Diceros bicornis minor: one gene and its partner. The protein of the gene in region 2 binds, or shares a complex with, the protein of the main gene of each other region. Links are inferred from orthologs where the notes say so. Each region holds a gene or a part of one and is shown on either strand. Other genes may lie near its edges.

Region 1 (10,436 bases), on a different chromosome or scaffold from region 2:
CCTCCATAGCACATGTCACCTTTAGCATACACCATCATCCCCTCTTTACTGTGTTTGTGTCCCTCACTTGAATGGCAGCTCCATGAGGACAGGTTTTGCCTTTCTGTTCACAGCTGCATCCTCGTGCCTGGAGCAGCACCTGGCATAACACAGGCAGTTGGTAAACTGGCTGAGGGGGCCTCAGGGGAGGGAGGGGGAAGCAAAAGGAAGGCAGTCAAAGGCCCCTCTGGTGCAGCCATTCTGCAACCCCTTTAACCCTTTCACCACTGTGGGGGCTGGGGCTCTGGGGCCTCACTGCTCTGGGTGCTGGGCTCTGGGGAGGCCTCTGGGCTTCAGCAGGCTGGGGCCAGAGCCATGCCTACCTCGCCCACCGCTGTATCCCCAGGGTCTGGCACAAGCCAGCTGAGGCAGGGTCTCAAGAATTCCTTGTTGTTGAGTAGATGACCTGGCAGGCCAGTGTCGGAGCCCAGGACAGAGCAGGAATGTGAATCTGACCAGGTCACTCTGCTGTGGCCCGCCTGCACAATACATGAGGGTTGCAGGACCCCTGCCCACCTCTCTCGCTTCCTCTCACACCCCCCATTGGCCTTCTTGAGTGAGCCAGACTCTGTGCACGTGTTGTCTCACCCTGTCCCCCCAACCAGCGCTTGAGACAGGGACTACAATCATCCCATTTCACAGACAGGCACGCTGGGGCACTGAGGATCTGCCTGGGCCCCAGCCACGTCTTCCCACTCAGCTGTACTGCCACTTCTGAGGCACCTCCCTGCTGCATGGCCCTGGGCCCCTCCTGGCTCCCGCCCCTCTTCGGAAGCTGCTCTCCCAGTAGACATCCTCCTCCTCCCCACTGCTCCTGCCTGGCTGCTTGGGACCCCTCCCGGGTTCTGCCTGCCGAGGGGCGCGCTCTAAGGACATCCGTGTGGAGTCTGAGGTGGAAACAGAGTGACCTTTGTGGTTCACTTAGACTTGGAGTGGGAAAATTTTATCTTTTTATATGGACATTGTGTGGAATTCTGGGGCTCTGTAGAAGGTAGAGCAGAGAAAGCCGGGGCCCTGCTTGGTGCACCCACCCCACCCTGGGATACGCACTCTGGAAGTCCAGCTGCAGGGACAGGACATCCTTGAAGAGGATACCTTCCTGCTTGGCCAGCTGCCCAGCCTCGTCCTGTGGGCCCTGCTCCCCCACAGCCAGCTTAAGCATGTCGTCATCCATCACTCTCGGCTCCATCGAGTCGCACAGCCGGTTCATCTTCCCTGAAAAACACCACGTTCCTCTCCCACACTCCGCTTCTCCCTTTGTTGGAGGACCAGTTCTGGCTGAGGTCCTTGTAAGGTTGTGGAGCATCGTGGTGGCCAAAGACACTCTGAAATCCACCCTCCTCCCACTGGACCTAGGGGTTCATACATCTGCACGAAGGCTGCTCCAGGGCTTCCCCGGCAAACATCTGTACCCATCCTGCCTGGTGCCCATCCTCAGGGGTGCACCCCTTGGCCCCACAACCACAGCTGTGCCTCTACCCCAGAGAAGTGGACCGGTGTCCACACCGGTTTCTTGAGCCTCTGGAGCTCTGCTCCCTTACAGCCGGGGCCATCTCAGGCCTTTGGCTTTCTGTGCCCATCCTTGTTTGGGTTTCTTGGCACCAACCACTGATCATGACCCTTGGCAGCCCCAGCCAGGCATACCAGCCTGCAATGCCCCTTCTTTGAGAGCCTCATCCCTTCCAGGCAGTCATATGTGTACTCCCCACACACACATACCAGAAGCTGCCCAGTGCATAGGTGGATACTGACCCAAGCCGGCCATTCATGTCCTCCCACTGAGAAATTTGAGCTTGGGGCCAGAGGATGAGTGCCCATCAGAGCTGGCTGCTTGAGCTGGGGAGGAACTGGGGGACCGTGGACTGGCCAGGCACGTGGTTAAGCAGAGAGAGCAAGAGAGGGATGAGGCAGACAGAGAGAAGCAGAGATGGGATCCAGTAAAAAAAAAGACAAAAAGACAGACAGACTGACATAGAGACTGCCTTCTCCTTGCTAGCTTTCTGGCCCCTAATGTCCCTAATTCCAGGACCTGTGAGGGCTTCTTCCTCTCCTGTGAGAGTGTCCTGACTTCTCGCATTAAATCTTCTTTTACTTAAACTAACTCCAGTAGGTTTCTGTCGCTAACGGTCCAAGGGGATTTGGCTGAAATACCACAGGCAAAGGGGAAATCTGTGGACTTGTTCACTCACACTGTGAGGCTGACACTGGGCTGCTATTCCTGGCTGGACAAAGCCACAGCCCTGGGAAGCTGGGGTGCCTGACATCATTCTCATCACTAACCCTCTTAATGAGAACATCCAGAAGCGCTGGATGCTGCAGGAAGGCACCCTCTCCTATCAGTCTACTGGAAACTTCCAGATTCTGCCTCCTACACCCTGTGGAAACTAGGTCCTCCCTTCTGCTTTCCACCTCTGCTTCTCACTTCCCTGCCGGCTTCACCTTCTACCTTTGTCCAGGTGCATCCCCAATATCCTGGCCTCCCTGAACCTCCTGCCTTCTGGTCCCTGATGCTGGGCAGCCCCTGTGTTCTGCTCTTTATTCTACTGAGCGCTGTTGGAGAGACTCCTGGCGGTGGACTGATGGTGTCCACCGCAAACCCAGGTGGGCCTGGCAATCCTGCCACCTGGTCTTAGAGACTGCCACTGCCTGGCTGCCCTCCCTCCCTCCTCCCCCACCATCCACTTGGATGCAGCTTATGCACATATGCATCTTTCATTTCTGGACTGTCCACAATCAAATGTCCTAGTGCCTTTAACTCTTATGTGTCCTTTCTTTCTGTCCCCAGAGGAGGCACAGCCTCTCCTACCCACTACCTACACCCTCCTCCCTCCCCCCACACCCCTTTTCCACTTGTGCCTTCCATCTTCCCATTCTCTCCAATCTGTCAACACTGGCTCTATCTCCTTAGGGTGATTGATTCACCTCCTGAAGATGTTTCCAGTCCTCTGCCTCTCTCCATCTCCCTACTCTTCTGAAACAAATTTTTCCAAGATTTCCCATAGCTTGCCTTTGGGGAAATTTTACTGTGCTGCATTTGGCAGATGTTACCTGCAAAGTGTTTGTGTTTTTTTAAAGAAAGGTGCTGCACTTTGGGAAATGATTCTAAATTCTGATTTCAAAACTTTGACTTCTCATCCCTCCCACGTCGTCAAGGCCTGGCACCTGTGACAGATCAAGCTTGCCTTCAGTCAAGCCCGACAATGGCTATGCAACATGGAACAGCTGTTATGCACACAAGGGCAGGATTTGGATCCTGACTGTGCATCCTTTGGCAACTCACTTCACCTGTCTAAGCCCTCGATTTCCCATCTGTAAAAGATGAATAATTCCTCCTTCCTACATTTGTTTAAGATCATTTATTTAGTCCACACACGTAATGAATAGCTACTACATACTATGAATAAAACAGACAGATCTCCTTACCTCTGTTTCAGACATGAATCAGATAATCAAAGAAATGTTTAATTACAAACAGTGACAAGTTTGTAGGTGTAGGGAACTCTGACAGCATACATTAGGGGCACCTGGCCTGGCCGGAGGAGATGGGGCTGAGATCTGAAGGAGGAGTGGAAAGAAGAAAGGGAATCGCATAGTGAGGGCCCTGAGGTGGGAGAGAACAAGACATGTTCCACTTTGGCTGAAGCAACGCAAGGTTGAAAAGGTCGACAGGAGTTCAATTATTATCCTGGGACCCCTGGGAAGCTCCTGGGCCTTAATAAGAGCAGTGGCATGATCAGATTTTAATTTTAAGAAGCTCTCTCTGGCTGTAGTACTGAGAATGGCAAGAGTCGTGACGTGAGAGATGCCCAGGGTGGTTGGTGGTAAGATGTGGATTTGAGAGATCTCTAGGAACTTAATTTACATGCGGGACTGATCATCTGCAGTTTTCAGATAAGAAAATGGAAGCTAGTTAGAAAGGTTAAGTAACATGCACAAGTTTACACATGTATACGGCAGAGGCAGGAGAACATGACTCCAGAGCCCAATTTCTTAACCATGACTCAACTGTACCCAGGGTACTGTGGACTGTCACTGTCACAGCTCTAACATTGTCACAATGTTTCTCACAGCTGTTCTGGGTCAGGGCCAAGGCCCGAATTCTCTTCCCTTAAGAGGATTTTATCAGTAATTTACCACCCAATCTGGGTTCCTGTTGACTTGCCTGAGGACAGTGTTGTCACTGTAGATCAGAGGTTGGAGACGGGGAAGGCAGTGGAGAGTTTTACATCACTGTCAGTGGAGTAGCCTCCTCAGGAGAAACAGATCCAGAATTGTCCTGGGAAACAACCTGGGATTAATTGGATCTGAAAAATATAGCCCCTATTGGCGATGAATTAATAAGAAGAAAATCAACCATTTACTGAGTGCTTACTGGGTACTAAGTGCACATGTGTCATTTAATTACCTGTCAGCTCCGGACGCCATCAGAGAAGGGAGTCCTAATGCCCTAACTTCCCAGATGGGGAAACTGAGACCTGGAAGGGAAAGGAAATTGTCCACAGTCATACAAGGAACTACTGACAAGAGACAGACATGGAACTTGAGTATCCATATTCCCACCCAAAGCACTTTATACAGCACCAAGATGAAGAATAAAAATAAGAGAAATAATTTAACGACAGTTAAGAGGTCGGATATGAGGATTAAATTCTTGAAGAAGTTATCAGTGGATCTTTCTTTCGGGTACCTTTGTTTCTACGAAAGGGATCAGGCCAGGAGGCTGGGAGATGGAACCCCTTAAACATCTCTTCGAGCCCTGCTCCCCAAGGAAATGCTTCCTTAGCCTTTTTTTCTCATCCGCAGGCCTGAAAGCCCGGGTACTAGCGTTCTGACTGTCTCAGCGCCGCTGCAAAGTGGCTGGCAGGGGATCTGTGTGCTCATTTTGCAGATGATAAGGGCCGGCCGCACTTCTCGGAGTAAAAGGTCAGAGAATTACGTCGGGGCGCTGTCTGCCCCTGCGAGTCCTCCCGGAACCTCAGCTTCGGATCTCACCTTCTCAAGCGCGGGCTACCGGGCTGGTTCCACGCAGCAGCCACTTTGCCCGGTTGCTAGGGAAACCAAGCGCCACCACTCCGTTGCTAACGGGAAGTCAGAAGATTGACATCCTGAGTGAAAGTTGAGGGGGCACGTGACCACGTTTCTGGGCGGGGGAATACTCCTGCCACCAACCAGCCGGAGAGAAAACAAATGTTTCTCCAATCAGCACTTTCTACGGGCGGGGATATACTTAGCCCCGCCTCTTCCCCGCCCCCTATTTGAGTGATTGACTCGTCTGTTCTCCAATAATCATAAGGATTCCCTAGCTTGACCAATATATAAAGGAATCAAAGCGCACAAACTCTCGTTCGGAGGCGGGCCAGGGGCGGTGTCACTACGCCTGAGGGAGGTTCCTGTGACTGAGCTCACTCCTCCGCCCAATCGGACAGCGCGGGGTAGGTGGGGCTTCGCTCGGGAAGCCGTAGGGCCCAATCGGAGGAGGGCAGGGCAGGCGTTGCCCAATAGGGACGCGACAAGGGGGCGGGGTCAGGGGCCGCGCGTTCGGCGCTCTAGAGGGTGGGGCGGGGGCAAGTGTCAGTCAGGTCGGGAGCGCGGCGGGGTACAGCGGAGACCAGCCGGCTAACAGGGCTCTGGACGGCTGCCGTGCTGACCGCTCAAGATGGAGTTCCTCCTGGGCAACCCGTTCAGCACCCCGGTGGGGCAGTGCCTCGGTAAGGCCGCGCGAAGGGAGGGCGTCTGGTTGGGCGACGGCGGCGGCTGACAGGGCCGGAGAGGACCACGGGCCTCTGCGGGCACCGGGGCCACCTCCTGGTCGCCGGGCCCCTGCCCGCGGGCGGGCCGGGCCTGCTCACGGCGTCGGTGCCACCCTGCCAGGCGGCGCCCCGAGGCCAGCTGGGACTTGGAGATGCTCCGCGCGGCCCTCCCCCTCGGGGCCCGGCTCCCCCCGGCTCCTGGAGGTGGTGCCCGCGCTGTCGGCCTACCCCGCGCCTCCTGGGAGATGCCACTGCGTGCGCCCTTGTCCAGCCCGACAGTCTCGCTGCCACTGCCGCCGGGACCCGGTTCTCCCAGACGCCTCTCCCTGCATCCCTGCTCCTCCTTTTCAGACCAGCAGCCCGCGGACTGGGCACCCTCCCAGAGAACGCTCCCTGCCCTGAGACTTGCTAATTAGAGCTGCAACTCGGCTAGGCTAGGCCGTAGGAGGGACTGGGAAGGGGGAGGGGTTCCTAGAGGGTGACGATCTTGGCAGGGGGGCTGGCATGCCTGCACTGCCTCCGGGAAGAAGGGGGGCCGTGCTATTCAATGATAAGAGCCCTGGACTGGGAATCAGGAAGCCTGGGCTCCAGTGGAGCCTTTGCCAGTTATCCTCCCTATGACCTTGCCCTTTCTGGCTTCACGTTTTTCCTGTCTGTCAAATGAGGTGTTTGGAGGTGAGATGTGGTAGGTCCCTTCAAATGCTCAAGTTTTGATAGTCCTTGTAGCAACCTCTGCACATTGACTGTTGCTTTCTTGCTACATTAAATTTGCCAAAGATGAAATCTTTTGGTGGCAGTGTAGAGAGAGGGGTACTTGGCAGTACCTGTTAATCCTATAGGGGGCTCTGGGTCCCCGGAAGAGGGCACCAGAGATGACCAGTATCCTGGGTAAGGAAAGCCCAAGGCTAGTGAAGGGACACCTGTGTGGCCACCATATGAGATTTCCTTACTGAAAAAGCAACTTGCCTTTTCACCCAAGGCAGGAGCTTATGCCAAGTGCTCAGTCAAGAACGTTGATTAGTTTCTTTTAAAACTGAGTTCCTCCTGGTTTGTGGAGGGGCTGGTAAAAGGTCTTTTATCAGCAGGGAGCTTTGGTGTCCTTATGGGCCTGGCTGGTTTGGGCAGAAGTGACTTGTTTATTTTCTGCTTTACTTATGAATTTCCAGCTTATGTTTCAGCCTTGAGTGGGGCCTGTGAAATTACTGAGGTCTCTTCTGTTGGCTAGCTGGCATTTGGGAGCCTTTCTTTTCTCTGTGGTGAAACGTCTTTGGTAAGGGATGGTGGACACTGGGCTTGGGAAGAGTCTTTTCCCATCTCTGTGGACTACCTCCCGTGTTCCTCTAGGTTTTCACGCCCCTTTCTTCCTCATTTCCTTTCCTCAGGTGTTCGTTCACTGCAGCCATACTCCAAAAACTAATTTCTCAGTTGGGTGTTGAATTCCAACCAGTTTTTGGAGGGAGCCAGTAAGCTTGGGGGATTTTTTTTTTCTTTTCTGTCTCTTTTACAGTAGGAAGCTCTACACCTTTGAAATGCCAAGGTATTTGATGAGGGGTAGAAGTTAAAGGGGATTTAAAAATATACAAATATAAGGGATGTAGGGGAATGTAGTGAATGGAAAGAGCATGATGCTTCTGTCAGGAAGACCTGAGTTGAATCTTACCTTGTCCATTTGTTGGCTGTGTGACCCCAGAAGATTGTGTAACCCTTCTGAGCCTTAGTTTGCTGAGAGAGAGAGGTTGATAGGTACTCACAGAGTAGTGCGGCTTAAGTGAGATGATGCGTGTCAACTCTTACCACAGTGCCTGGAACACAGCTGAGGCTCAGTGAACTGGGGCTGTCACTGCTCACACAGAATCATGAAGTTAGGGCTGGATTTTCTCCCTGGAGAGGATATGAGGGACAGCTGGCCTGTCTGTGACCTGTGAAGGAAAATACCCTTCCAGGCCCCAGCATCCACCATCCCTTATAACAGACACTGGACCACAAAGGGAATGAAGCCTCCTCATTGCCACTTAGTCAGCAGGCAAGGCCTAGGTCATTTCACAGTCAGTTCAGTTCTGATCAATGATTAGAGGACAGAATGAGGTACTAATGTCTATTCTGTACTGTTGTGACAAAGTGTAAAAGTGGCTTTCTTGACATGTAGTATTGTTAGTATTCTTTTAAAAGTATGTGCTGGGGGTTGATGGGAGGGAGGGGCATACAGAAATAAAACAACCGCAGAGCTAATGATGAAATGCAGCAGTGATAGCTTACACACAGCAGTTCTACAGCCATTGTTTGCTCCTTACAGCTGCTCTGTGAAGTGGGTTTTATTGTCCTTCTCACTTTAGAGATGAGGAATCTGAGGCTCAAGGAGTGAAGGGATGGCTCAGCTGGTAAGAGGGAGAGCTGGGATTTCACAACTGTCCCGGTCCTCAAGGGCTTTCTGGTGTCAGGGGAGAGAAGAGAGGTGTATGGAACAATGACGACTAACAGAAGGCCACTCCGTAGCTCAGTGCTCAGTCGAGTGGTGGGGACTGTCAGTGCTGTTTGGAGTCCAAAGGAATTCAGAAGAGCCGGGGGGGTGGGATTGGCTTCCTTGAGTCCAAGGGCTGTTCATGAGGATGGGTGTGACTTCTCCAGTGAGAGAAGGAGACATCTATGCCTGGGGACAGGTAAAGGAGGCAGGAAGGGTGTGGGCACGTCTGTGAGCGCCAGTCTGAGGGGAACAGAGGTGGCTGTGGGCAACAGTGGCAGGTACGCTTTTGGCCCAGGGTGAAGCCCTGTTCTGGCTGGGTGACATCAAAGACGAGATTCTTTAGCTGACTTCAGCTTTTACTCTCCCTGAACCTTATTTTCCTCAAAAAAGAATACCTCTCAACAGCTGCACAGGGCTTGGACCTAAATAATTCCATCAGTCCAATTCAGGAGGCGTTTTGAGTGCCTGTGGAGTGCCAGGCTCTGGCATACAGATATTAAAGAGTTGCTGTCAGGGAGCCTTCAGCAGAGGTATCACGTCACCAAAGGTATCCTGGAGCTGCAAAGCAGTAGGCTCCTAGTCTGAGTGTCAGTAGAGTAATTGTTACTTTGTCTCCTGCCTGGGCCTCACAGGCACATTCTGACTTGGTGCTGTTTGCTCAAAGACACAGTCTGCCCTCTTGAGCTAGCAGCTAAGCCCACAGTCTGACTTGGTCATCTGTGCAATTCTCACGTCAGCCCTGCCCCGGAAGGTGGCTCCTGAGTAGGATGCGTCGTTCCGGACAGAGCTGCAGTGGTGTACGAGCCTAAGGAGTGTGGAGAAAGAAAAAGCACTTACTTTTATTTCCTGATTTTTCTCTCCTGAAACAAGTTTCAGAACGTTACTGTCTTGTCTCAGCCCTGCACGACCGCTGGGATTTGGATGACCGCTGGCGTTGGATTCACACGTCAGGAGTTCCCTGAGTCAGGGCCATGGTGCTCTGCAGGTGTCTGCGGTTTTCCTTGTGGTGGCTGGAAAACACTTTCAGATAATCCTTTTCCAAGAGTCAAGTTTGGGTTCATTTAGGTTAAAGGATCAGAGAGTAGCTAGTTAACTCTGAACAGAATATTGGGGGTGGGCAGGGAAGATCATTTATTCTCTTCGTGGTTCTGCTTTAATAAACGTGTAAGCAGCAGATATTCTGTTGTGGGTTTGTGTTTGCAGATTGGATGGTGTTGGACGTAAACTGCTTCCTAGTGCCCTGTGAATGCTAGCGTTTGACTCTAGTGTGGCTGTTTGTACCAAGGCTGATTAGTCGTCCCTCAGATTGCTATGGCAGTTGGCAATTCACAAAGCCCTTTTGCTTCAATCTTTTTATTTAGTCTTTACAACCCTGTGAGATACACAGGAAGAGAACCGAAAGGAACTTATAATTATTAAGCCCCACTCTGTACATGGGATCGCTTTTTTTTTTTACTGAGGAAGATTCGCCCTGAGGTAACATCTGTTGCCAATCTTCCTCTATTTTGTGTGTGGGTCACTGGCACAGCATGGCCACCGACGAGTGGTGTAGGTCCCCGCCTGGGAACTGAACCCGGGCTGCCAAAGTGGACCATGCTGAGCTTAACCACCAGGCCCTTAATCCCCTCAACATTTAATTATTTGAGGGCCAGCCCGGTGGCGTAGCGGTTAAGTTTGTGTGCTCTGCTTCGGCAGCCCAGGGTTCGCAGGTTCGGATCCTGGGCGCTGACCTATGCACTGCTTATCAAGCCATGCTGTGGTGGTGTCCCATACACAAAACAGAGGAATATGGGCACAGATGTTAGCTCAGGGCTAATCTTCCTCACCAAAAAACACAAAATCTTAAAAAAAAAAATTGGGGCTGGCCCCGTGGTGTAGCGGTTAAGTGCGCACTCTGCTGCTGGCAGCCTGGGTTCGGATCCCAGGCGTGCACCAATGCACCACTTGTCAGGCCATGCTGTGGCAGCGTCCCATATAAAGTGAAGGAAGATGGGTACGGAGGAAGATTAGCCCAGGGCCAGTCTTCCTCAGCAAAAAAAGAGGAGGATTGGCATGGATGTTAGCTCAGGGCTGATCTTCCTCACAAAAAAAAAAAAAATTATTTGAGTGCTGTTGTCCCTGTATTGCTTATAAGGAAGTTGAGAGGTTGAGAGACTTGTGCAAGGTCAATACCAGAGTTAAGCCTA
Region 2 (10,994 bases):
TTCTGTTTTTTCATTTTGGTGTCTACCTTTCATACTAAAGACTTTCTTCAGACGTCTGCAAATCCTTGGCTAACTTTTCACGGTAAGACTAAAAAGCTGATGGAAGATCCGAGTGCAAGGGTGTGGCTTAACAACCGTGAACTTCAGTGCGGGATAATCTACTTGGACTGTTTTGTGGGCAATCCTGGACGTCAGTGTCTTTAAGTCCCTTCTTTTGGGCTGGTCAGATTCTGCAGAGACTTCTCCAATCTCCTGTCTGCGATATGAAGGTCGAACCCCCAGCGCTCCAGGAACAGGGAGGAGGAGGAAGATCTCAGCTCTAGTATATACACATTCACTGAATCCCCTTGTTTTTAGCACAGTATCCCTGCCTCTTCTCTGTCTACCATCCCCCAAACCATAGATCCTCTGTTTTACTTTCTCCAAACCTCCAGTCTTCTATGCAAAGTGGGAGAAAGGTTCTTGCCATCTAACTATTAATTTCCAATCAATTCTCCTTATTTTAGTCCCTGTCTTCACCCCTACATCCAGATGAACCTGACGTTACCAACTTCCTAGTCTTTTAGAGATTTACCTCAAAGTAATTCAGGGGGCTCTCAGCTTTCCTCACGACCGGTTTATATTTCCATATTCTTGAATCTGCTAAGCCATTTACCATCTGTCCCTATGCTTCCCAGCTTCCAAAATTTTGTTGCTGTTGAGTCCTCCTGTTTTTCTTGTCTTTGTGAGTTTATGTCTCTTTTTTACTTAATCCCTTTAAATGTCATTTTAATGGAGTTTTGATAGAGAGCCAAAGTACATGTATGCATTCCATTTGCCTTCTTTTCTCAGAAGTGACATCTTCCAGAAATTTGAAACTTCAATTGAGACGAGAGATTGGGAGTTTTGAGGGTGTTACCTATTAACCCTACTCTTTATCTTTATATGACATTTGATTCTGTTAACAGCTTTCTCCCTAAAACTACACCCCATTGACATACCAAGGCTCAGGCAGTAGGGCAGTGGGCACCAGAGGCAATCAAGGAGACTATAGATAATGTTAAAACAATACAACTGACTAAAAGTCAGTCTGCTTTTTATTATCACCATGTGCCAGCAACAAAACAATGTCAGTGATAAAACTTCTTTCCGGGGGCCAGCCCTGTGGCCTAGTGGTTAAGTTTGGCACACTCCACTTCGGTGGCCCGGGTTCAGTTCCCGGGTGCGTCAGCCATGCTGTGGCAGCGACCCACATACAAAATAGAGGAAGACTGGCACAGGTGTTAGCTCTGGGCTAATCTTTCTTAAGCAAAAAGAGGAAGATTGGCAACGGATGTTAGCTCAGGGCAAATCTTTCTCAGCAAACAAACAAAAAAAAAAACACTTTTTCTTGGAAAATCTTTTGTTAATCTAAGTTCTAAACAATTGCTCAGTTACTGTTGATTTTAATAATATATATATAAGCTTCAATGTAGCAACTTTTTATTCCTTATCCTCTAATTAACAAAGAAGTTACTTCAGAGAACTTGCAGTTATCCAGTTGGCCTCTGACACACATGACCCCAGCTGCAGGCATGTGTTCTGAGAGCACATCTGAAATGGTTCACAACTGTCCCAGCTCTCTCAGGCACAGCGTACCCCTGAGATACTACATATCCTTGCAGAAAAGAGACATGACATAAACAACAAGAGCCCAGTTATTGAAAACACAGAGAAACCGAACTTGAGTTATTTCAATTCTATCATTCTATATGCAACTCGTTCTCTAAACCTTGCAGAATTCATTCTTTTGGAAACATTTCTTCATATGATTTCTTCCTTTTTTTCCCAAAAATACATTAATGTAATTTAAAAGTATTGATCCATTAGCTTTTTCTTGTTTTGTACTGTAAATTTTATTTTAAAAAATTTTATTGGCATGGTTATATAAACAAAGTTCAATAAACTTTTCTTTTCAGGCTATTATTATTATCTGTACTTTAAAAATTACCTGCTCCAGGTGTTAACTTCATTAGGTACACCACTGCATCTCACAGATTTGTTTTTTCACCAGCATCAATTGGCCATTCTAACCCCATCTTCATATGACAGAGATGACCCTTTGTCAATGTTTCCTCTGCTATCAACTTCTAAATGCTGGGCTTTTTCGGGGCTTGGTCACGAACTCTCTTCTCATCTCTTTTTATCCTCTTTCTCAGTGTAATTTAATTCAGTCCCATGGTTTTAAATACAATCATAAGGCTGCTGACTCTTTGCACTAATATCTCTAATGCAGAATTCTCTTCTGCATTTAAGACCCATATCCAGCTGCCTATCGGACATCTCAATTTTAATGTCTTACAAAATCCAACTTTGCTTAATATGTTCAAAACCAAACTCTTGATTTCCAATTCCAGCCTCACTACCCCCATCACTGTCTTTACCCTCTCAACGAAAGGCACTACCATCTACCTAAATGCTCAAGCCATTCTTGCTTTTTCCCTGTCTTTTACCAGCATATCCAATCAATCAGTAAATCCAGTCAATTTCAACTCCAAAATATGTCTTGAGTACATCTGTTTTCTCTCCAAACCCACTGCCACTAACTAGCCCAGACCAACTTCATCTCTCACCTGGACCAATGCAACTGCTTCCTAACTAGTCTCCTTACTTTCACTTCTGGCTCCTCCAAACCATTCCCCAAAGAGCCACCAGAGTGATCTCAACATACATAGAAATTTAAGAAACTCCCACATTAGGTCCTTGGTCTGTAGGTAAGAGCTATCATGGTGTGGAAGGCAAAATGGGCCCCTCCGAAACTGCATTTGAGTGCATAAAATAACAATATCGCAGACCAGGGGGATGGTGGGGATTAGTGTCACCCTTAAAGATCTCAAGGATGCAGGAGTGGTGGTGCCTATCAAGTCTGCATTTAATTCACAGGTCTGGCCCCTGCAAAAACTGCATAGATCTGAGAAAATTATCGTCAATTACTGCAAGCTCAACCAAGTAGCAGTCCTGATGGCAGCTGCCTTGCAAGTGCCATGCAGCCTTTACTAGAGCAGATCGGTGTGGCCTTAGGTGCATGGAACGTGGCCACTCATTGACCAAATGCATTATTTTCTACCTCAATCAGGAAAAAGGATCAGGAAGTTCCCATTTACATGGAACAGATAATAATATATACTCACATAGCCCTCACACTCACAAGGCCATGTTAATTCTCCCGATCTCTGTCAAAATATAGTCTGAACAGATCAGGACCATCTGGACATTCCACAGAATGTCACAGTGATCCATTACATCAGGGTTGGCAAACAACAGCATGTGGACCAAATCTGACCCACCTGTTTTGTATGGCTTACAGGTGAGGATTTTTACATTTTTAAACGGTTTTTTAAAAAGATCAAGATGAATAAGCAGAGCACAGAGGATTTTAGGGCAGTGAAACTATTCTGTATGATACTACAATGGTGGATACATGTCATTATATATTTGCCAAAATTCAGAGAACACCGACAGTGAACCATGATATAAACTATGGACTTTGGGTGATAATGATGTGTTAATGCAGATTCATCAATTGTAACAAATGTACCACTCTGGTAGGGGATGTTGATAGTGAGGGACATTAAGCATGTGTGGGGGCAGGAGGTACATGGGAAATCTCTGTACTTTACCTTTAATTTTTCTGTCGAACCTAAAATTGCTCTAAAAAAATGAAGTTTATTAATGTAGAAACAAAATCGAAATATGAAGAATATTTTGTGACACGTGAACATTACATGAAATTCAAATTTCAGTGTCCATGAGGAAAGTTTTGTTGGAATACTGCCATGCCACTTTGGGCCCCTTGTGTCCGATGGCCAGCAGACAAGAAGAGAAGTCCCATCTTGGCAGCGCAGCTGACCCTGACCAGCAGGACAAGGTATAAGTGCTGTTACACAGTGAGAGTGTTAAGGAATTCAGGGGATCACGCAGTGTCTCTTGGTACCCCATTATGACAGCCCACTGTGTCTGCGAATGGACAAGGGCAGCAACTCTTGCCTGAGAAGGGTATGGTTATCAGTCTCAGACCCTTTGGGAATGAGGGTTTGTGTCCACAAGCAGATAAGCCACTGAGACCAGCAGAAGTGGTAGCTGAGGTCCACTGGATACATACTTGTGGAAGGGAGGCAGGCTGGGAAGGAAGGAGGAAAGACAGACCCCTGAGGGCTAGTGGTGGATCTCCTGCATCTTCGGTGGATTGCCCACAGTGTCTGGCACGGCGGGCTCTCAATAAAAGTGCAGACGGGATTATTATTTCCGTCTTTGACTTTACTAGTGTGTTGAACATTCTAATATCCCATACTTTACTTGAACCCTCTGGAAGAAATGTTTTCCATTTCATCAATCAACAAAGCCCGCTCACATTTGGGGCACGCCGAGCCCTCCCACAGGGGCGCCCGCCCCGGGAAGCCATGCCCTCATGCCCCGCACTGCGTCACCGGCACTCCAGGCGCTCCGCGGTCGGACCGCCCAGACCCCGCTCACCGCCTCCGAGCTTCCAGGCGCGCCGCGATGCGGAGGCGCCGGGCCTGGATCCGCTCCTGAGGGTTATCAGAGTGTATCGAGGGCCCGAGAATCGGGGTCGATAAGTGTTCCTCCTCCTTCTCCTCCAGCACCCCCAGCGATCCCGGCGGATTCATAGCGGATGCCTCCCGCCCCCCAGGCAGCCCCGCCCCACCACCGCCAGACCGCAGCCCCGTTGGTAGCAACAAGCCGTTGCCAGGGAAGAGCAGTCACGTGACCCGCAGCTGCAGTGATTGCGCGCGCAGCTCAGGCCCCGCCCACCGGCATTCCGAACGCTGTAGCGCAGATTCGGGTTTCGTTCTCTTCTGCAGTTGGGATGTAAGTACCGTCTTGAGCCCCCACCAAGGCCCAGTCGTATTAGCGGAGCCTGGAAGACTGAAGAGCTGGACCAAGTGTAGTTCATCACTTACTCACCCCGATTATTAATTCACCATTCATTCATCAAATGAATATTCCTCAAAATCATATTCATCAAATATAATTGAGCACCTACTCTGTGCCAAACTGTGCTAGAGCTGAGGATACAAGCGTTGTCCTTTCCTCATGGAGGGTGCAGAATAATAGGTCTACTCTGAGCCTATTGCCTCTTCAGATACTTTGAACTAAAGTATATTGTATACATCTATTCGTCATCCATTCATTTTTGAGCTACTTTGTGCATTGAGCCCCTATCTTTTCTAGAATGTGCAACCACTATCATTAAATTTATATCCAGCAAGGGATTGTTGTCTTCTGTAGCCATTTTCAGTAGGGCTGAAACCTAGGAGAATCCCACCATCACCACTTCCAATCACACGCTTATACACAGAGGAAAATAGTGAGGGCGGGGATGGGCGGTGGGGTACAAATGAAAGTTAAGAGCGCAGAAGCACAATTAAACTCTCAAAGAAGCACCATCCCTTGAAAAAGCACTATATCCTGGGCGTTTTTTGTGTCTCATTGCCAACAAAAAAGTGTTCTTATTGAAAATTAAAACCCTTTCAAAAACAAACTGGATAACGTTTGACGGAGTCTTGTCACACTGTCCTGTGGGAAACTCGGGAAAGGGCGCTGGAGCAGTGAGAAAATGCAGGTAGTAGTCCTAGACCTGCCCTGCAACCTCAGGTAAGTCGCAACTTCTTGAGGACCATTTTCTCAACTGTTATATGGTACCATCTGCCTACTCAACTCACATGCAATTGTGAGGCCAAAGAAGATAAGCTCTTTGTGAATAAGACCTACCCAGAGTCAAATGGAGTACTTTTTTTTTTAATTAATTTTTCCAAGTCTTCAAGTGGTAGAGAGATTTAGGAGTGCCAAAATCTTGCAGCAGCCGAGTCCAACAGCTGCCTGGATCCTTGTCCCATATCTAGCCCAGGGTGGGGGAGGGGATGTTTGCTTCAGGGTCCTCTGCCAAATCTCTCTCTTCTGGCTGTAACCTCAAGCGTTAAACTTCCCTAGGGGCCATGGAATCAGAGGAGCAAGGTATAGTTTTGACCTCGAACTCTTCAAGGTTCTGGTCTGTGTTTCTACCATCTGTGAGAAGAGAAACAAATACACGTGTGTGTGCATGTCTATGGCTGGGAGCAGGATACCCTGAAAGTCAGTGGGAACCAGCTGTTACACCACAGATAGGTGAGAGAGCAGGGGTGCCACAAAACCCATGAAAAGTGATCAATGAGATACTCGGCCTTAGAGCTGTCCCCAGATACCTTCATTCCAGACATCTTTTGTAATGAATCTGACTCTTTTTTTTTTGCTGTTTGATTGTTGACAGCTTTTAAGCCTCACGCCTTTCTTCCTCTCTGCTCCAGATCCCGGCAGCTGATTAAAAGAAAGGAGGGAGGGGGCCTGGGTGCTCTCTACTTTGGCGCTGGCAGGAGGTTCCAACTGTGTGAGCTGGGTCCTCTCATCCCAGCCCCCACCGCCTAACCACAATGAAAGCCTCAAGACAGTCTCCTTTCCTGGCTCTCTCCAGCCATCTTCCAATCAGCTGGGACGTCTTCCTTGCTGTCACAGACAGCCTCAATTATGTAAGTAATAAAGCTTATTCATAGGTGTGGAAAAAAAGACACTCTCATTCACTGCTGGAAAGGCGTCTTTTAGGAGGACAGTTTGCCAATATCTGTTAACAGTTTAAATAAGCATATGCACTGACTAGGCAATTCTACTTATAAGAATTATCCTTGAGAGATAATAGGTCTAGGCTATAGCTCCATGGGGTCAAAATGACATCAGTTTTAGTCAGTACTGTATGTTCAGCACCTAGCCCAATACCTGATATGTAGTGAGTGCTCAACAAACATTTGCTGAATGCAAGAAATGGACACAAATGTATCGGTATGCTCACGGCAGTTATTACCCAGTTATTAAAAATTTATTTTATTAAATTTTTATTAATATTTATATTTATTTACAATAATTTGTATTAATTAATCAAATTTATTATCGTTATTAAAAAACTGGATATAACCCAAAATCCATCAACAACAGAACTGATAAAGCATTCATAGGATGAAAAACAATGCAGTCACAAAGAATGAATCTGACCTAGAAAGACATCCAAGATCTATTAAATGAGGAAGGAAAGATGCAGCACAAAGTGTAGAGTATGATCCCAGTTTTATTTGAAGTATATGTAGTATGTACACAAGAAAAACAGGGAAAGAACACAAAGTAGTTGATCTCTCTAGGGGTTGGGTCTATGGGTGGTTTTCATTCTCTATTCAAAAAAAAAAGTTTACAAAGAACACAAATCACTTTTGATGTAATAAAAAATAAAGTTTATTTATTCATTTATTATTTTTTTAAAGAGCAGTGACAGATCCTGAAGAGACTGCAGCAAGCAAGAGTAGTAGGGCTGTCACGGATGAGAGGAATTCGGGGAGGGATGTCGCTGAGGATTCACTAGCCTTCAGAGACTAGTCCTCATGTGGCAGGCAATTCTCCAAAAGCAGACCTGCTTTTGAGAATTGACTTATGCTAATACACTCATGAAAGAAAAATATATAGAGAATACACTAATTTGAGCAAGAAACTACAACTGACACACAGAGCATATGTGTTTTATGACTGTGACCAGCACATCTCCATGGCTGATCTACAAGGGACTCAAACTATAATTGGGAAGCTTCTTGATAATGGACAACAGACTGTGACAGACTCAGTGGCCTACAATGGGTATAACTTGCCACAAAGATTAGACAGGTCAAGTCCTTGAGGCATGGCACCCCCATGCCTCGGTAAGTTTTGGGTGATACATGCAAAACCTCCTGGCTATAGGGGCTTCCTTTGCTATGCTACAGGCTGGCCATCTACTTCAGCTTACAGTCTTTTTCCAGAAAAATAATGATACATTGGTTGGATTTTAGCATGCTACGTCAAGTCGCACACTTAATTCTACATCCATAAGGTTACATCAAATCACCTTAATTGGGGTTTGAGGATTCATCAAATATTTACATAATTTCTTGGTTTATTCCTATCTCCTAATGTGTGTGAATTTTACTAATAGATTCTCAGAAGGCAATCTTATTTTATTCTAGTTATTTTTAGAACTGCCTCACCATCATCTTCCTGTATTGCCTACAAAAGGTATGAAGGAAGGAACAGAGAAGGGAGGAGGAAGGAGGAAGGCAAGTCATGAGCAGGTCATAAGGCTGAGGAAAAAGTTCAAAGGTAAAAAACTGAGAACTAGGTATTACTAGAAACCGAGCACCTAGCTTAGACTACTCCTGTGCTGAACACTCTACATGCATTCTTCATAACACATAATTGTAGTAATATTCCTAATCCAATTTTACAGATGAGGAAACTGAGGCTTAGAGAAAATAAGTCACTTGCCCTGGGTCAAAGCTTGCAAAGTTGAACATGACTAGGAAATAGTCATTATAGTAAAGCTTTGGGAGGTCTTGAAAAACTTTCAGAAGAAAAGCAAGAAGAAAAATGGAAGAAGCAGTTATAAAGTTTTCTTTCAGAAAATTTGGAACAGAAGAAACAAGATGAGAGCAGGGAGAGAAGCAAGACACTTTGGGGCACAGGGTCTAAGTTTAATAGACCCAAGTGTGGTCACCTAGTACGCACCTGCAGGGTGTCAGGTAGGCGTGTGAGGTCTGCAGAGAAGGGAGGAACAACTGCCAGGGCAGCCAAGGGGTGGGCAGGGGATTAGGAATGGCCCGCCAAGAACTAGCTTGGGTTAAATATGGGACATTTCCTCCTCCACCTTCTTCAAACCTGTTACAATTTTTTTAAATGTCCACTGCCAGAACTGGGAGATCAATTCCGATGTAAAAAATAAGAAATATTCTCCTCGGAAGCAATGTTAGAAAATCAGAGTTTTTATAAGAGCTTATGGTTTACATACTGTAGTTTTGGTGTATTAAGTGTGGGTTAGTAGGTTCTTGTAGAATTAGCCTGGAAAATGAACTCTTTCTATGGGAAAATGTTTCTTGAGTATGAAACAACCACCTTACAAACTATTTAAGTGTGATCCAGTTATTATGACCCAGTATTATTACATATTGCCAGGACCAGTTCTGGGGGAGTTCGGAGCAGTATATTATGAATAGCTGTTACTGCCGCCTGCCTAGTACCCTGCTTTCTGAAACAAATCACAGGACTATGGAACACCCAGGAGCAAGCAGGCTGATCTTTATCTTAAACAAAACAAAAAAAAATCCTTTAATTGTTTTGCTCTAAAATAATCAATGATTCTCTGAGACAAGTGGCTGGATGTTAATTTTCTCCCCATAGGTCCCTCCCCTTTTGCACCTACCAAGGAAAAACAAAGACGACAATCCGAAAACCATTAAAAGGATTTAAAAATCATTTACTCTCTACTTTTATTACAATAAATATTTATCAATAATAGAATTAAACAATTTTAAATTAAAACCTACTGCATTACTTTTGGGTTTCACAGCAGCAGAAATAAACATAAATCCAGTTGTAAGGGCAAGGCTTCCAGAATTTAGTGGCAAGAAACAGTCAAGTCTGGATTATCTGGGCTAGCAATGGAGAACAGCAATACTGATGATGCAAAAATAATGAAGAAATGCATACCTGTACTCTATTTGTACATCATGTTATCTAGGACTTCACAACATTTCAGCTAAGGAATTTAAGCAAGTTGCGAAGGTCCATTTCTGCAAGAGCTAGATTTCTCCCCCATCAAGCCCATGAGCACAACTGCTCCCAGAGCTGGCCAGGAATGGGCCCCATCATCATGCAGACCCAGAAGCCTCAACCCTGGGGGAAGCAGCCATCTTTCTCAAAAGCTGTCTTTCTGGTTCACACAATCCCTGCTGAAAGGGAAATGGAAAGTGATACATTTCAAGGGCCTTTCTTGGGGACCAAGATGCACTGGAGGTAGGAAAGACTGGCTCCAGCTGAGGAAGAGACTTCATAGAGTTATGGGCTACATTGCAGATTAAGTCAACATGAAGCAACAGTCTGATGAGGCTTACCATTTTGCTCATAATCAAGAGTAGACTGCATGTACATATGAATATATCATACATATAAATGCACAGAGAATATAAGTGTACATATTAAATACGTATATATATATACACGCCACATAACCAGATAAAATAAATGCTACATTATTTACTATGAACACAGCAAGTCCTAGACAGACCAGTTACTAACATGTTCAGTTAAACTACTTGAAAGGGAAAGTAAGACTTTGTGCTCCTCTTCATCTTTTTCTCTCATATATTCTATTTGTAGCAAACACATTCCAGTTGCTTAAATGGTGTTGTTTCTAGGTACCTGAGAAGGGATGGGATCATCCTTTTGTTTCAGAATACTACAGAAGGCAAGCTGTAACAGGACCATGCTAACCAACTCAATAATTAATTCGGCCATGATTCTTGCCACCTATTCTTAGTCACAGGGCATGAAACCTTACTTAGAAAAGTATCAATTTCTTTTTCTACAATTGGCTACAAATTTAATGTTAGATGGGAGGGAAAGGGGAGAAGGCAGGCAGCGGGGAGTTTACACCACAACTATTCACAGCCTTCGCCCTTACCCAGAGGAAACGCTACTTTAAAAAAATATTGAAATTTGGAGTTTAATACTGAATTTTGTTTTCTCGGCACATTTCAGAATGAGCAAAACCATTACATATAGCTGAGTCTTTGTCTCCTAAATGGCTGCTCTAATGGGATAAGTTATCTAAACGAAATAACCTACAATAACTGTTAATATTGTGGGCGGTCTTAATTAATAGTTATTAAACTCAAAATCTGACACTGAATGATACCAGTAATTCAAAAAAATTTATAATGCAGCATTCACAGATCTTGTAAAATTAAAACAGGCTCCTTCTATAACCTGGTTAGTAACATCAAGTACTAACTAAACATGTTCCTAGTCAAGAACTTACTCTTTAGAGATTAAAAAGTGCTCATCAAAAATATCAGAATCTAGAATTCATGGTGAATTGTGAATTGTGTAAAAAACCAAAATCAATTCTAGTC

The links.
Region 1: DRC1 (region 2) and DRC3 share a complex: the UniProt entries of both Homo sapiens proteins name them as parts of the nexin-dynein regulatory complex. The link is inferred for Diceros bicornis minor from reciprocal best matches to the Homo sapiens genes DRC1 and DRC3.

Annotation. Positions count from the first base shown.
Region 1 is NC_080757.1:1,376,060-1,386,495, reverse strand, and holds the start of DRC3 (dynein regulatory complex subunit 3), read right to left. Parts: upstream 4,983-10,436; 5' UTR 4,727-4,982; intron 4,515-4,726; 5' UTR 4,445-4,514; intron 4,316-4,444; 5' UTR 4,202-4,315; intron 1,255-4,201; 5' UTR 1,250-1,254; coding exon 1,090-1,249; intron 1-1,089. Other genes in the region: TOM1L2 (TOM1-like protein 2), read left to right, coding at 5,696-5,747. UniProt on the Homo sapiens protein: Component of the nexin-dynein regulatory complex (N-DRC) a key regulator of ciliary/flagellar motility which maintains the alignment and integrity of the distal axoneme and regulates microtubule sliding in motile axonemes.
Region 2 is NC_080751.1:56,335,865-56,346,858, forward strand, and holds the start of DRC1 (dynein regulatory complex protein 1), read right to left. Parts: upstream 4,647-10,994; coding exon 4,492-4,646; intron 1-4,491. UniProt on the Homo sapiens protein: Component of the nexin-dynein regulatory complex (N-DRC) a key regulator of ciliary/flagellar motility which maintains the alignment and integrity of the distal axoneme and regulates microtubule sliding in motile axonemes.